4 linked regions of the Tribolium castaneum genome follow. The protein of the gene in region 2 interacts with the protein of the main gene of each other region in a biochemical or structural test. Links are inferred from orthologs where the notes say so. Each region holds a gene or a part of one and is shown on either strand. Other genes may lie near its edges. The genes, in order: Cdk1, Wee1, polo and peptidyl-prolyl cis-trans isomerase NIMA-interacting 1.

What was found.
Region 1: of the proteins of Wee1 (region 2) and Cdk1, one has a biochemical effect on the other in vitro, tested with the Homo sapiens proteins (5 studies listed by BioGRID, with this or other methods). The link is inferred for Tribolium castaneum from reciprocal best matches to the Homo sapiens genes WEE1 and CDK1.
Region 3: the proteins of Wee1 (region 2) and polo form a complex in vitro, tested with the Homo sapiens proteins (2 studies listed by BioGRID, with this or other methods). The link is inferred for Tribolium castaneum from reciprocal best matches to the Homo sapiens genes WEE1 and PLK1.
Region 4: the proteins of Wee1 (region 2) and peptidyl-prolyl cis-trans isomerase NIMA-interacting 1 form a complex in vitro, tested with the Homo sapiens proteins (2 studies listed by BioGRID, with this or other methods). The link is inferred for Tribolium castaneum from reciprocal best matches to the Homo sapiens genes WEE1 and PIN1.

What each region holds. Positions count from the first base shown.
Region 1 is NC_087401.1:17,534,474-17,538,374, reverse strand, and holds Cdk1 (cyclin-dependent kinase 1), read left to right. Parts: upstream 1-1,883; 5' UTR 1,884-2,091; coding exon 2,092-2,765; intron 2,766-2,822; coding exon 2,823-3,069; 3' UTR 3,070-3,136; downstream 3,137-3,901. Other genes in the region: CCT6 (T-complex protein 1 subunit zeta), read left to right, coding at 1-465, 1,259-1,410, 1,461-1,676; transmembrane protein 53, read right to left, coding at 3,387-3,548, 3,597-3,725, 3,774-3,901. UniProt on the Homo sapiens protein: Plays a key role in the control of the eukaryotic cell cycle by modulating the centrosome cycle as well as mitotic onset; promotes G2-M transition via association with multiple interphase cyclins.
Region 2 is NC_087401.1:8,447,992-8,452,828, forward strand, and holds the start of Wee1 (wee1-like protein kinase), read right to left. Parts: upstream 3,161-4,837; 5' UTR 3,037-3,160; coding exon 2,694-3,036; intron 1-2,693. Other genes in the region: prenylated Rab acceptor protein 1, read left to right, coding at 3,416-3,489, 3,536-3,745, 3,794-4,094. UniProt on the Homo sapiens protein: Acts as a negative regulator of entry into mitosis (G2 to M transition) by protecting the nucleus from cytoplasmically activated cyclin B1-complexed CDK1 before the onset of mitosis by mediating phosphorylation of CDK1 on 'Tyr-15'.
Region 3 is NC_087398.1:11,007,580-11,012,397, forward strand, and holds the start of polo (serine/threonine-protein kinase polo), read right to left. Parts: upstream 3,229-4,818; 5' UTR 3,094-3,228; coding exon 3,001-3,093; intron 2,948-3,000; coding exon 2,723-2,947; intron 1-2,722. UniProt on the Homo sapiens protein: Serine/threonine-protein kinase that performs several important functions throughout M phase of the cell cycle, including the regulation of centrosome maturation and spindle assembly, the removal of cohesins from chromosome arms, the inactivation of anaphase-promoting complex/cyclosome (APC/C) inhibitors, and the regulation of mitotic exit and cytokinesis.
Region 4 is NC_087394.1:12,589,517-12,592,939, forward strand, and holds peptidyl-prolyl cis-trans isomerase NIMA-interacting 1, read right to left. Parts: upstream 1,634-3,423; 5' UTR 1,531-1,633; coding exon 1,476-1,530; intron 1,423-1,475; coding exon 1,219-1,422; intron 1,170-1,218; coding exon 949-1,169; 3' UTR 696-948; downstream 1-695. UniProt on the Homo sapiens protein: Peptidyl-prolyl cis/trans isomerase (PPIase) that binds to and isomerizes specific phosphorylated Ser/Thr-Pro (pSer/Thr-Pro) motifs.

The sequences.
Region 1 (3,901 bases), about 9.1 Mb from region 2:
AACGCGAGAAGATGGTTCAAGCTGAGCGTGAATTTATTGAACAGAGGGTGAAAAAAGTCATTGCTTTGAAGAAAAAACTTTGCGATGGCACTGATAAGAGTTTTGTTGTTATTAATCAGAAAGGGATTGATCCAATGAGTCTTGATCTTTTGGCCAAGGAAGGTATAATGGCCTTAAGACGAGCCAAAAGACGCAACATGGAAAGATTGGCTTTGGCTTGTGGTGGAATCGCTTTAAATCATTTCGATGATATGCAAGAATCGCAATTGGGTTATGCTGGAGTTGTCTATGAACATGTTTTGGGCGAAAATAAATATACTTTCGTTGAGGAATGCAAAATACCACAGTCGGTCACCATTCTTATTAAAGGGCCCAATAAACACACTCTCACTCAAATCAAGGATGCTGTGAGGGATGGATTAAGGGCCATCAATAATGCCATAGAGGACAAAGCCTTGATTCCAGGTAATAAAAAGACAAAACTGAATTAAAAAAAAATTAAATTATCCTTTTTATGAGTTTCTACATGGGAATTTTTGCTGAATTTCATCATAAATCTCCCAAAAAATCACCAAATTTGTGTATTTTTTAAATTTTGTAGTCAAGAATTGTAAAAAATCTAAACTATCGTTAAATTTAGGCCGTTTTTCAAGCATATTTGCACAAAACTACAAAATTAAGCCCAGCATTATATTATTTTTGAACTTTTTTTAAGGTTCCAGCGCATTATTTTTCAGTCAGAAACTCACTCATTTCCCGAAATTAACAAAATATCTAGTTGCTTAATGGATGACGTCACAGTCATTTTGTGACGCGTCTTAAAAATGTGCGTTACTAGGCTTTGAAATTGTAAATAGGGGTCAATGACCTGACCTGGCCACACAATTGTTAATTTATTAGACTCACAATGCGTTTTCCGTTTAAAATAGAGCTCAAAAATTGAATTTACGAGTTGCTTCAACTACTCCCATCACCAAAAACCCAACTTCGGTACTTACTTGTCAATGTTGAAAATCGCCGTTTAGATCAACACATCGGAACACTGAAAGTCTTTGAACACTTTTGCACAAACATTTGCACGAAATAACCGATTTAACAGCGATTTTTCCCGAATTTACTAAGCGGTAAGCGGCCATCACGAAATTTGATGCACCGCCAATTGTTTCGCTACCAACCGTACCAATAAAATCACTAAATGTCATAGCGCTTAATTCAAATTGATTTTGCACACAAAACAGTTTTTTGTGATATTTTTCAGGCGCAGGGGCTTTTGAGGTGACCGCCCACAAAGAATTGATGGCTTACAAGGACACCGTTAAAGGAAAATCGCGTCTTGGAATTGGTGCTTACGCGGAAGCCCTTCTTGTAATTCCCAAAGTTTTGGCAACGAATTCTGGTTTCGATGCTCAGGTTTGTGTGATTTTCTCATTGATTGTTTTATAGTTATTTGTTGTTCTTAGGATACTATTGTAAAACTTCAAGAAGAATCTCGTAACAATAAGGAACCAATTGGGCTTGATTTAGCTTCAGGACAACCGATTAATCCGAAAGATGCCGGAATTTTCGATAATTACATCGTGAAGAAACAAATAATTAATTCGTGTTCGGTGATTGCAAGCAATTTATTGTTGGTTGATGAAATAATGAGAGCCGGAATGAGCAGTTTGAAAGGTTAAATGGATTTTTTTTGTCAGTAATTTTATTCACGTATTAATGCTTGATTTTGTAATTATTATACAACAATAATAAAGGATTTTAACACCCATTTTTTGGCCAAAGCTATTATTTGGCGATCGTATAGTAATTTTGTGTGTCTGAAGTTGGTAATGTGTGTCTATTTACGCCAAAAAAAAGACAGGTTATTGTGATTGACGTGAGTGCGATAGAGACGGGGATAATTGTACCCGATTGGTTGGTTCAAAAATCTCCAACGAACTTTCTCCATATTTCTTCAAACGAGCCGTTAAAAGTGTGTAAAAATTAACAAAACTCGTGTGCTTTGAATAAAATATCGTGTTTGTGGTCGTGTAGGCATTGCAATTTGACGTTATAAACGTCATTTTAAGTGGAAAGTTTGGTTATATTGGGGCAATGTCGAAACAGGGGGCCAACATGGATGACTTCCTCAAGATCGAAAAAATTGGTGAAGGCACTTACGGTGTGGTGTACAAGGGCAAAAACAAGAAGACGGGTCAGCTAGTCGCAATGAAAAAAATCCGACTGCAACCCGAAGACGAAGGTGTGCCTTCCACAGCCATTCGCGAAATCTCCCTCCTGAAGGAGCTCACACACCCCAATATAGTCTCCCTGGAAGACGTGATGATGGAAGAGAATCGTCTTTACCTAATTTTTGAATTTTTGTCAATGGACTTAAAGAAGTACCTCGACACCATCCCACAGGGCTCCTACATGGACCCCCAACTCGTCAAAAGCTACCTCTACCAAATCAACGAAGCCATTCTCTTCTGCCACCAAAGACGAGTCCTTCATCGCGACCTTAAGCCCCAAAATCTGCTCATCAACTCCGAAGGGGCTATCAAAGTGGCCGATTTTGGACTAGGGCGCGCCTTTGGGGTCCCGGTTCGCGTTTACACGCACGAAGTTGTCACTTTGTGGTACCGCGCCCCCGAGGTGCTCCTCGGCTCTGCACGTTACTCGTGCCCTATTGATATTTGGTCTCTGGGCTGCATTTTCGCCGAAATGGCCAACAAAAAAGCCCTTTTCCAAGGCGACTCCGAAATCGACCAACTTTTCCGCATTTTTCGGTAATCAAATCATGTAACTATAGAAACGAAAACAACTTGCATTTTTTTTCGATTCAGGGTTTTGAAAACACCAAGCGACGAAATCTGGCCAGGGGTGTCCACATTACCTGAATATAAGGTTACGTTCCCTAATTGGAAATCATGTACTTTGGAAAGTCAGGTAAAAAATATGACTAGCGACGCTATAGATTTGTTGAAACAAATGCTGATTTATGACCCGGCCAAGAGGATTTCGGCCAAAAAAATCGCTTTACATCCGTATTTGCAAAAGGTTGATACGTCAATAAAGCCGATCCTTAAATAAGCGGTTAGGTTTAGGTTTATCGTGTTTAGTATGACTATTTTCTAAATATATTTGTTTAAAAAATCTTTTGTGTTTGAAAACCTCCTTAATACATCATGCACGAGCTGCACGTGTATATTGCTATGGTGATGCGTCAATGTAGCTATGGTAACAGTGAAAGGAAATGCGGGACAGTGGCGCAACATAAAGCAGATCATTTGGGAACATAGTTTTAATGAAACAATTGAAATAAATACATTTTGTGCAATTCAACAACGTCTAGAAAAATAAATTGTACCCTAAAGTTTAATTAAGCGTTGAAATGTTTTTTGTGTGAATTAATTTGTGCCATTTAGGCATTTATTTAAAAAATTGCATACGCTACTCACGTAACTTTCTTTATTTTCGGTGTAGTGTTTAACATGAGGACTTGTTTCGTAACAGAGAGTTGTTACATCGATACCCAGAGATTTTCGATAGTTGGCGAAATATTCAATATCCTTGAAAAAAAAAAAAAGATGATTGGCTACAATAGTTAAGATGGTTACCGTATAAGGAATAAGAATGTCTTTTTTCGAGTAGATAAAATGTTGGGGACAGTTGTTTTTATCATCTTTCAAGTTTTCTAACGGGTTCGATTGGAACGTTTTTTTCGGACTGATGTAATTGCTAACAACCTACAATAATAAATCAAGGAATATTTAAAGTTTTTGGTGCGAACGCACCTCGTATAACCAAATCATAGACAAAAACATAGTCATGAGGACTGAAGCGGGAATATTGTAAAGGGGCCTTCCACCCAAAATTGCCGAAATGGCCCGAAACAGACTCAGAACGCGACGTTTTCCGGGCG
Region 2 (4,837 bases):
AGATGTGAATCAGTTTGTAGTAGATGTATTTAAAACTAGTAAATTGTTAATAAATATCAAATAATAAGTTAAATTAGATTATAATTGCTCACAATGTAACAAAATTCCTCTATTTTGATTAGAAGAATTAAATTAAAACTTCTCAGAGTTTATAAAGTCTTTCGTTTCTCAGTGAGTTACAAAAAAAATGTGGATGATCTTCGTAATTTAATTCGAATCTAAATCTGATTCAAAATCCTTTTTATTGGTTTCTATAGAAACCAATCAGTTTTCTAAATCAGAGGGCTTTATTTCAAAAATCAAAGAAAACGAAACTTACGTTTTTTTAACTTAATTTTTTTAACCTTTTTTACAAAAAAATCATGAACCAATCTTTTAACGGTTACTAATTTTTACGTAATTTATGTTTCTGCAAAGTTGTAAAAATTCAAAATATCGTAAGTTTTTTTAGGTGGGCAAATTTTGTTCTAATTAATAATTGTTCTGAAATTGATCCCAAATCTATTTGCCTAATTTGCTTTTTAAATTTTAGTTTTTAGCAAGTAAACATTTCAGTATCAGTGAGTACTTTGTGAAAGCAAAAACTGGTTTAAACAGAAGCATCTCGAAATAAAAAAAAAATAAAAACAACGGCATTGCCTATTTTTCTTAACGACAGTACACTGCATACAGTCGGCTGTCCCAAGCAAAAACACAGCAACCAACAATTTTTTAACACTTTTTGCTTTATTTTCACGCTTAAATTCATTTTTTTTTTTAAACAGTAACTGCAATAGAACATTCCTTTTCCAAAGTAAATTCCACAAAATATCTTAGAGACGATCGATTGTACTCCATATGTTTAAGTAAAAATAACTCATATACACGGTGAGTTAATAGTGGGTTATTTCTGACATGTGCTAAAATGCAACCAAAAATACTATGGTAGCGCTCAGCTCCATTTGCGTGTGCGTCATCTGACATTTCTGTCACTACGTTTACATAGCAGGGCCATAGCGGTGACAAACTATCAAATATTTTTTGAGGTTACGAAGTGTTTAAATTAAAAAAATACAAAAAATACAGATTCACAAAACAAGAACTAATAAACGCAGAATCAAAAACCTAACGAAACGCAAATCCCAAAACACAATAAACGAACGAAAAATACTTGCGATTAACACCGATAACACTTTCGACAACCATGCGACGACGTCTATGATTTACTGTCAATGTCAGGTTGACAAATTCGTGACACTTAACGGTGTTGTCGAAGTGCACATGTATATTAATGTTCAAGGATACCACCCTTAGATACCCCTTAGTTGTTTAAATTTGCATTGTTTTTGACAATTTTTTTACAGCTTTGTGTTGGTAATGAAAAAATGAAATTGATGACGCACACGCAAATCGAGCTGACCGCCACTATAATTGCACTTACCACTTGGAACTTTGAGTTTTAAAAACATTAATTGAATCATCATTGGATTTTTATCTTTTAAATAATAATATTCCATAATGAAATTTTAACAAAACTGTCAAGACAATCTTGACAATATCCAGAACAATGTAATCTTGGATTATTTTTTTTAACGATTACCGATCTCGTTAGCTGGAATCGGTATTATCGGTTGCATATTTATGAAAATTCAGACACAACCCACTATTGACTCACCCTGTAGATGTAAAAAAGCTATATTTTATAATTTAATTATCAGGAAATACAATTTACATAATAATATCACTTTTAATTGAACTTTTAGTTAGTTAGATTGGCCACATCTCTCTATCTTGGGTTATTACATAAATTTATCTCGTAAATGTTAATATTTGTAATATTATTATTAATTACTTACTGTTGTACTAAAAACTGCTTGAAATTGTAACAAGTGTTCATTAAAAAAACACTCTAGAGTGAATTGAAATTAAAAATCAATTATTTTGTATGTCTATGATATTTCGTTCTCTCATAACCTTACTTTATGACAATTAAAAAGACAACGGATTTTCATAAAAATATTTATTATTTATCAAAACTGTTGGGAATGTATTTCTTGTTGTTCAATACACATAACAGATCGACTATTTATCAATTTTGGTTACAAATTCTAATGAGCTGGTTTCGTAGGCAACCAACAATACAATGATAAAAATTGCTCCAAGACATCCGTAAAAATATCAGGCAATGCTGGGAGTTTTTTTTAATAATGAACATCTGATATTTGCTTTAAGTAGTAGCATTGAGTATTGAAGTAGTAGTATTAAGTAGTATTTGTAAAAAGTGAGCCAATGAAAACACAGTATATGGCAATATAAATTTTTTACGTTATTTTAGATAGTATAGTACTCACGTCATAAATTGCCCTTAAAAAACGATATTTTTAAGTTAAACAATTTGGGTAAAGAGACATTCTAAAAGACTGGTTAAATAAACTACTTTTTGAAAAGTTGTAAACATAAAAAATATGTATAAATGCGGCTAAACATTGAATTAACAACCACATAACTTTCTCTAAAAGTTATTTTTTTTTAATTTGCCACTATTATAGCAGGACGGCAGATGATTTATCAAACTTTACATTATTGCCCTTAAAATAGGAGCAAGTTTTTGCCATAATTTCTTTGGTGAAATAAATTCATTGAAGTTCCTGTTACGACTTGCCATGGTGCTAAAAAACAGGAGGCGCCCCTCAATGAAATAATGAAATCGTTACCGTTTGGTGTGAAGGGGTTGACGTTGGCCACCGGCTTCTGCTTGGTGTTGGTGACACTGCGCGGCTTCTCCGTGAAGAGCCGACACCTGGGGGCCGGCGTCGTGGCCGACTTCTGTATGATAGTCTTGGGGGTGAGAGGGCTGTCGAACAGTCGCAGCGCTCGCACCCGCTTGTACGGGGGGCTGTATGTCGGGTTGGACGAAGCTGAACGCCTCGGTGAGGGGCTGCGTACATAGTCACTCGAAAGTTCGAAAGACAGCTCACAACCTGACGACGAGTCCAGATCGTTGGGGGGCTCCGAGTCAAACGTGATCTCGGGAGTCTTCCGGCGCACTTCAGACATTTCTCACGCACAAAAAACGCCCAAAATTCGCAAAAAAACAAACACACGCTCTATTTTCGACACGGAAACGGTTACGAAAATCGACGCATCTGGGGTTTGAGTCGACCAATCACAACGCGCGAAGCTACGCGCTGATTGGCCGCGGGCGGACGCCATTTTAGTGTCAATTTGACGACGGCGCGAGGTTTGAAAAGTGACACGTCGGTGGTGTTTGAATCACCACAACTGGGGCTCATTTACTTATCCACTGTGTCAAAGACGCTCAGAGGGGTGACTGATTTGTTATTGCAAGGGTGGGCGACAAATTTGGTGATAGGTAAGCCACAAGTGGGCAAGTGACAGGACTGGTGACCTAATTACAGAAAACAGCCCCCTTGTCATGGCAGACGTGTCCGTGGATGTGTCGGGGGTGATGTCGCCCCCTGAAAATTCACCACGGACCCCGTTTTCAAGGTATGAGATTTTTAAGCGACCTAACCTCAATTCTAGAATTTTCTAGTTTTCTGCAAGTTCCGACCCAAATACCGGACCCGAAAGAATGGTTTAGTAAACAAAGACAAAACGTGCGTCCCTGGCTATTATTCATACAAACTTCCAACTTCAAGACGCCCCCTTCAGTCCCAAGACTCAGCAAACGAATTATGAGAAACATCGAGTACTTCCAGAGCAATTATTTATTTGTTTTCCTCGGTTTGGTTGTTTATTGCTTGTAAGGAGCCCCTCAGTGTGAGCACCAACCCCAAAATTCTACTTTCAGAATAACCTCGCCTTTGATTCTATTCGCCCTTGCTGGGACTTTTTACGCAGGCTACAAGCTTAACAAAAGGCACCAAGAGAAGAAAATCGTGCTTTTTAAAAAAGAATTGACTTTGGCACAAGTTTATGGAGTGGTAGCACTATGTTCCATGCCAGTTTATTACATGGTGGGGGCCCACGGGGCCATGTTTTGGGTCCTAGGAGCCTCATTTTTCCTTATTACTTTACATGCCTCGTTCTACAACATCGACGCTGTGATCGCGCAAGGAGAAGACGGTTTTCCGCTCTTAGAACAAGTCTAATTTTGTACAATTTTATTAAATGTTTTACCCGCCCTGTGTCAATTCAGTCACGTGACCCGACTCACACTGCTCATTGGCGGAGGCCATGGCAACGCCACCACGTGATGAGTGTGTCAAAAAAGCCGTGTAAAATTTATAGAAAATACGTTTATTTTTCGTAAAAGCCAAATTATATTATGTACTGATATTCTTGAAGAAGAAGAAATTTATCTCTTAAGATTTGAACTACTTTTATACCCGATAAAACGGATAATATACAATAATTATATATAACAAACTCGTAACTAACTAATTAATTAATGCGAATTGAAACAACATCCGAATTAATTAGAGCCAGTGTGTGAATCGATGTTTTTTTTAATATATAACTATAGCTTGTTATTTTATGAAATATTTTCCCCGCCTTGTGTCAAATTCAGTCACGTGACCCGACTTATGCCGCCCTATTGGCGGAGGCCATGGCAACGCGACCACGTGACGAGTGTCAAGGACGCGATTGGCGGTGTGCATGGCAACGCGACCACGTGGATGGGTGTGTCAAATCCAAAGCCGTGTCAAATTTATAGAAAATATGTTTATTTTTCGTAAAAGGCAATTAATATCATGTACTGATATTTTCCAACTAGAGAAATTAACTGTTTGTACAATAACTATTTTGATAAAGGGGTGGAACAACCTAAATTTATGTACAATAAACTGAAAAATTAATTAATTACCTGACAACAAAACGGAAGAAATGCGCC
Region 3 (4,818 bases), on a different chromosome or scaffold from region 2:
TTTACTTCTTGTAGCTATGTCTGTCCTGTGCTCTAAGCTCCAGTTTAGTTGAATTGGTTGGCAAATTTACAGATTAAACTTTTTTCACTTTCTTTTACAGAAAAACTGTCAATTTTTGGTAATTTCAGCATTATATCAGATAAGTTTGTAGCTACTCATTTTACACGACACTTAAAATATAAATTTTAGGTAAATAAATTGTTAAAATAAAGTACGACAATTTACATCTTCACTTAACCAACACTCTTTAAAGAACTAAATGAGAATAACAAAATCCGAGCTGATTATAATTGGATATAATTTAATTGGTTGTAGGTAAAATAAACCTTTTGTGCCCTTATCGTTGGTGACTTTTTTATTTAACATTTTGTTGTGAATTTGTAACACGTTCTGTCAATTAATGCTTCGACTAACGTAGACATTTTTATGAATTCGTAGTATTATTTAGACCGTATCGCTTTACAATTGCAGACTATACTTTACAACAATCGCCTATTGCCTGGGATAAATTTAGAAACAATTTTTTTCATTAAAATTTGAATCGAAGAGCTCTTGAAGCTTGCGGGCCCTTTTAGGCTCCGGGCCCGGGTTCCACGGAACCCCTGTGGATACGCCACTGGTGTCAACCACTCGCAAACACAACATGCTTTTCGACTAAATGCTGTGGTTTATCGGCCTATTATAACAAAATTTTGCTAAAAAACGCGATAAATCGAAAAAAACTCAATGTCTATTTATTTTGTGATTTTTACGAGTCTTTTAACAAGTTCTAGCAAAGTAAATCAGTCTGAACTTAGAAAAATATAAGACAACTTCAATTTTGATCTAATTCGGAGATGTTTCATCCATTTCTCGGTAAATTTTTCGAAAAAAAAAAAAAACTCAAGAGTTGAAGAATACTAAAGTAACACCCATTTTAGTAAAATTAGGTGACTTTTCGGTCTGTTTTTTTAAACGTGCTAAAAAAAGACAAAACGAAATAATTTTAGATTTAAATTTTTAATTTTCGGTCACTTCTAGCAAAAAAAATAGAGATTTTAGCCCTAAAACATGTCTAAATACTCAAGAAAGGCAGAAATAACGTTATTTTTGATCAGAATTTATTGTTGTAAAAAATTTTTGAGTATTAATTAATAATTGAATCTCTGGTTAAAATATTCTAATTTTTACCTACCTTTAGCAAAATTTTTCTAAAAAAAATTTAGTTAATATCTCAAAACATGTTTAAATATTCGAAAAACTCAGAATTCACACAATTTTCAGTGTGACTTGGTGAAATTTCGGTTTGTTCATTACAAAATACCATTTGGAAAAGAAAAAAGAATATTTTACTCAGCTAAATTTAGAAAATTCATAAGAAACTCCAAACACTTGCTTAGAAAATATAAAAATAACACACTTTGCGACCAAACTTTTATCTTTTAAGCTTACTATTGATGAAATTTCGCCCAAAAACGTGATAAATCGAAAAAAACTGACATCAATTCCAAATAAATCAGCCTCGAACTAAAAAATATAAAATAAAAATTTCGATATATTCGGTGAATTTTCATCCACTTTTAGGTATATTTTTTGAAAAAAACTTAATTTTTAACTCAATGAAAGTCGAAGAACACTAAAATAACACCCATTTTAGTATATGTTTTGGGTGACTTTTCGACTTGTTTTTAAGAGATTTCGCGAAAAATTTGCGTTGCTGGTGAAAAAAAAAAAAACGAAATAATTTTGGATTCAAACTGGTAATTTTTCGGTCTCAAAAAACAGGTTTTAGCTCTAAAACATGCTTAAATGCTCAAAAACAGGCAGAAATAACATTACTTTTGATTAAGATTTATTGTTGTAAAAAGTTCTTGTGCAATAAATGAATCTCTGGTTGAAATAATCACATTTTCGCGTAAATTTTTCTAAAAAAAAAACTTAGTTTTTATCTCGTGTACACAATTTTCAGGGATAATTCCTTTATTGGCTGTAAATGGAAAAGGAAAAAAAATGTTTCAGTAAATTTAGTGATTTTTACAAGAAACTAAGAATGTAAGTTCAAACACGTGTTTACTGGCTTGGAAAAAAACGAGCAAAATCGAATAAAATAAGCTAAATTAAATAAATTTCGCTTTAATTTCATGATTTTTCAGCTAGGAAGCTCAAAAGATAAGAGTAACACAATTTTATCAATAACTGTGTTTGCTTTCTGAAATATTTTCCAAAAAACTTTGGCAAGCACTTTGTTTACTTGTAAATTTATCAAAGGTTTTAAGGAATACCAACTAGGGCCTAAGGTACCAAAGTCATCTACGAGCCCCCATCATAGCCCCCATTCATAATTTACCCTTCTTATTTATGTACAATAAAAATGGTATTTTAATATAATTTTTTTGCTACAATCTTTTCCATTACGACTTGAGTCAAAAGAGGTTTTGAAATTAATAAACCTGGAAACTGTAGTTAGAACTACCTCCCTAACTTAGAAACCCAAGTATAAGCGCCACAAGTGATACCAACATGAATAATTAATTATACAAACTACAGTGTCTTAAAGAGGTGGACTGTTGTTTAATTTACCAATTAATTTAGCTCTTTGTTTGTGCAACCATTGGCCATGACAGACATCAGTTTAAATATTAGTTTTGGTGATAAAACTATCAATATTATAGTTTCCCATAATACAGAGTGAGCAGCGATAACAACCAGGAAACAGACGCAGTTTAAAGGGCCAAAAACTCACCCGCTTTCTGCACAGCTCCAAAACTATATAAATATTGTCCGTATCCTCGAAAAAACTATAAAAACCGACAATATTTTTGTGTTTCAACGACTTGTGTATCTGTATCTCCTGAGTCATTTTCTCCTTCTGGTTTTCCTTGACTATCAGCTTTTTCGAGACGACTTTCCCGGCGAACGTTTGGCTGTTGGCCACATTCGTAATTTCGTAGCATTTTGCAAATCCGCCCTAAGAAAAAACGGCCACTATCACATGAACCCATCGACAAAAACAACACTAACCTTGCCGAAGAACTGCCCCTTTTTGTACCTAATTTTCGTGTTCTCGTCGTATATATAGTCGGGAACTACGACATAATCGTCCACTTTCGACATTTTCACTAATTACTCCTAGTTTTATTCACAGTTATTGCGTTTGGTTGGGTTTTTACGGCAAGCATCCACCACGGCTTGAAAAACTTTTGGCAGTTGAGAAGATTTCAAACGCCGGCAGCTGATTGGCTGATTGGACAGGAAAATGGTGGGGAAAAAAGAATTGTCAACGGAAGTGACTACTTGCAGAACGCGATCTCTAACCACCAAACAAAAATAGACCACAATAAAATACACAAAGTGGTTTATATTGACTCAACAACTTTGGTTTGGTCGATCAAAAATTGGGCCAAACGCTGATCTTGACCGTATTTTAAATTTAGTCTATCAAAACATTGATTTATGTGTTATGCAACTCACAAAATGCTTCTGCTGAGGGCGTTGCCTAGCTAACAACCTAACAATTAATATTAAAAAAAAACTAAACAGAAATTTATACAGGACTGTAGGCCGCGCATTCAGGCAGGGCGAAGGCCTACTCCTAAAATTCTTGTTCTTCCTAGACAAATTTTATACGTTTTATAAAAATTTATAAAATATAAAATTTTAACTTTGCGTTGTCTACACTTTTTCAAAAACACCATAAACATGTACGTATTTTTATTTTTGGGGAAGTCAAAACTGCAAAGCGTCATCTGTTATGCAACATCGAATGTGTATGATTTATGAGAACACTGTTTTTTCACAAAAAAATAAATCTGGCAATTATTATTACTGCACTTGGTTTTCGAGGAAAAAAAAAGGCACACGGGAAATTTATTTTGACTTATTTTTATTAGAGTTTAATAATAAACGAGAAAATGTTTGACGAATACAAAGTGTTCTGTCTAAACTAAGTTTCGGAGTATTGAAAAAAGTACTGAAAGTTTTGATAATAACATTTATCTGAAAATTAGCCTAGAGCCATAGCTCATTGATTGAAAATATTTTCAAAATGGCGGCACTTCCGATTGTATCGAAAATCGCTATGAACTTTTTTATTAGCTTTTTCCTATTCCTAAATTTAGCTATTTTCTAAATAATCAGAATTTTTTGGAAATTTTTGGATTTGCACCTTTCACTTCAATAATCGTAAATTCTGCTATTTTTAGAATTTTAGAAACAGTATTTGGCCAATCAAAAACAAAGCCTAAATCTTTCCTTCAGTGTGTTCAAAAAAGTTTACAAAATCCAAAATCTTAACGTTATTTTTGGACAGCTTCTACATGCTATAAGTTTTTATTTCACTAAATAGAAGAAAATTTAATTCTGCAACGATCTGTGTTGGCATTTCTTATGCTTATTTGTGATAATTTTCAAGTTATGTTAATTTTTTTGACATTGCTAGCCACAGATATTTTTGCGCAGTTTGACAAAGAAACATTTCATTGAATAAACGATAAATTCTGTTCAAAATTTTGTTTTCCTTTCCGTTAAAACAAAATGAATTCATTGAATTTGGATTTGAAAAACTTTGATTCCATAATTTCATTTACCTACATCCCTACATACAATATCAACAAAAAATCCGCATGAAAACTGTTAAACAAAAGTATAGGAAAAAATGATGGCATTTCATTTGAAAATTTTTAGTTATGGGTGTTTGAAGTTCTGCAAACTTAAAAATCTTCTTAAATACTGGAGGTATTCTTTTGGGAAAAAAACTTCAAAAAAATTTGTCTTTCAATTAACCATAAAAGGATTTACATTTTTTTTAAACGACAAAGTTATGGATTTTTGAAAAGTAAA
Region 4 (3,423 bases), on a different chromosome or scaffold from region 2:
CAAGTATTCAAAATATCGTAGAGATTTTTTAGGTGGGCACTAATCACTGTTTCATTAATGTTCATAAAATGTTTTTCAGAAACAATTTTCATGTGTTCTAACAAGAAACGGAATAAATATGATTCTAATCCACCTAACTTAATCACCGACTAATTAAAAGTGTTGCAATTTTTTGAAGGGATGAACAAGCTAGAGATCCAATCTTTCAAAATTTGTAATCGAGTTCGTATTGGAATATGTATTGTTGATTGCATTTTACAGGCGCAGGCCTTGTAAAATTACGTGGAAGACCCTGTATTGATTATTATTGAAGCATCGTTTTCTTTGTAGTTACACCATAACGTTTTACAGCAGTTAATGCTGTTTATGATAAACAATCCTCAAAATAAGATGTTTCGACAACGGTGACCAAAAGATATTTACGATACCGATCGGTTCGTCTGAAAGACTACATCCTGGTTTGAAGTAATCTCAATAAAATTTAATGGTGTACAAGCAAAACGTTGCAACAATACTTTTTGTGTAAAAAAATCTGTGTGTATTAGTAGTTTCGAACTATTGTAACTACGCGAAAGGCACTTTGAAAATAAAAGATAGTTATTACCTATTATTGATTTAAATCTTCTCATCCTCACTTGTATTATGCTTGCATCTTAGCAAATGTTTTACTTTTGATTCTGGAATAAAATCCGGGCTAACAGGAGTGCTTAGGGCTCTTTATTGTGCATAAACAAAATAACAAAAGTATCAGGAATAAGTTACCTCATTAATAAGTAAAAAGTACAATATAAAAGAAATTTACACTAAATTTACAGCTCCAATCTCATCGCAATATATATAAATATGAATTTGTTTGGCATAGATGCATCATAAATTACGTTAACAAGACCTGAAAGAACATGAATGAACTTATAATAAATGTAAAAATGGTCTAGAAAGAGTACAAATCTAAACAGTACGCAGAATAATATGCACCCCCGAATCGGTAAAGACAGGTTCTGACAACTCCCCAACCTTGAGCGCAAACGACGCCTCCTCAAAGGGCTTCTGCATGGCCCCCCGTTTGAACGAGCCAAGGTCGCCCCCTCGTTTAGCAGACGAGCAATCCGAGTACTTTGAGGCTAAGTCAGCAAACGAGGCCTTGCCCTGGACGATTTGTTCGCGATACGCTGAAAAAACGTTCAAAAGTGGTGACATTTCTTGGCCAAAAACACTCACATTTGACTAATTCCAAGGCTTCGTCTTTAGTCCTTGTGATGTTCTCCTCTCGCCAAGAGGACGGTCTTCGCGAGTCTTTGTGTTTGACGAGTAAATGTGAGCACTGGACTTGTTCGGGGCCGCTCGAAGACACAGGTTCTGCCGGTTTGTCGGGAACGTCCCATTGGGACTCTTTGGTGTAAACGTTCAGGTAGTAGTGTTGGCCTAAAATACACGTTTTGAGTCAAGGGAGAATGATTAAAACTTAACCGAATTACCGGTTGACCGACTTAACCGCTTTTCCCACCCAGTAGGCAACTGTTCGTCCGCCATTTTCCTAGAATGCGTGTTTATTTATCGGCTAACTTCACTCGAGGCTTTATTTCTGTGAAGACAGCTACACGAGTTAGCTCCTTCAGTTTCCGGAAATACCCGGACACAAACCACTTTCACACCAACAAAATAAGCGATTGTATGGTTGGTTGCCAACACTAAAGACGTTCAATATTGAGAAAAACTGAAAAACACAAACTTCTCTTAAGGCTTCAGGGTACCGAAGCGATTGTTGAGAATTGGTGTACTACAAGTTGCATACTTTTTTAGACCTGTTTTCAGTGACAGCTGTCAATCATCGGATAGGCATCCGACCTTCGCCTCGGGGTGTCTTGTCCCTTCTCATAAAATGCAAATAATGTAAACAAACTGAATTCCACTATCGCCCACGATAGTTTCTCTTATTTCAGAGATTCAAGCAACATACAGTAAAAAAGACGTTTTTTATTTTGTTAAAAAAATTTGATACTAAAGAATAATAAAATACTAGCATAGTTTTGTAAAAAATAATACACCATTACACCATTTATTTATTGGGTTTTATGTTTTAATTAACCGAATTCTGTTCGCTATATTATGTGTCATGTGCATTTCTAATTGGATCACTTGCATTGAAAAAATATAAAATAAAAAAATTAATTGGTGAAACATTATTGTTCTTTCAGAAAACAGTTTAACTTTAAAAAAGTTACTAGGAATATCTCATTAAAATGATGAAAACTTCATTAAACCCGCTTTTTCGTCTGATAATTTTATCCAGGTAATAAATTCTGAAAAATACATTGTTGTAAAAATTTATTCTAACTATACCCAGTAATAATTATAGTACAAATAACGTATCGAGAGATTGTAAGATCCAGTCTTAGGGATATAATTTGTTTACGTTACGCCTTGTAAAATAAATGATACTTTTATAATTATGTATTATTTTAGAATTTAGGAATTATTTCTCGTTTTTTTATTAAATTTATACAATTTTTCTATAACTAGCTTGCGAAGATATAGCTGCGTTACTCTTACATTATATAAATTTTGTGTATTTCTTTAAAATATAACGCATCTTCTGGTGTTGCAACAATAGTCGGTGCAAGGACTAAAAAAATTTTATACGTGGGAGTTAAAAATAAAAATTGTAAAAAATGTATGTATTATAAGAAAAAAAACCAAACGACGCCCCCTCATAAATGTTTTAAAAATTGGAAAAACACTTCAACTTCAATGGAAGCAGCAATTATTTTGGATGGATTTAAAAAATCAGTAGACATGCATAACGTAAGATTTAAAAACCTCATAGGAGATGGTGATAGTAGCGTCTACAAAAAAATTCGTAATGCAAGACCATACGGGCCTAATTATTTTATTAAAAAAATTGAATGCCGAAATCATATACTACGAAATTTTTGTACTAAAATTAGAGAAATCGCTAAAACTCCTCGTTCTGACATAAATATAAAAACTTTTTTGCGCAACAATTATTTGAAATTTAGAACCGCAATTGTTTCAGCGATAAAATACAGAAAAAACGAAAACTGTACTTTCGATCAAAAAGCAGAAAACCTGAAAAATGATATTTTAAATGGACCTGCACATATTTTTGGTAATCATTCAAAGTGCGCTACGTATTTTTGTAAAACAGTTGGTCAAATAACAAATGCAGTTGCATATTCTGACTTTAAAAATAGTTACTTGTTTGAGTTGTTCATGCAGGCATTAAAACGAGTTGCAAATTTATCTTCAAGTCTATTGTATGATGTCGATAATAATTCTGTTGAGTCATTTAATTCAGTGGTTAACAAACTTGTTGGGGGTAAAAGAATAAATTTTTCAGAACGCGGTTCTTATCATGGAAGATGCTTTGCGGCAGTCGTAAATGTAAATAACAAAAACAAATTT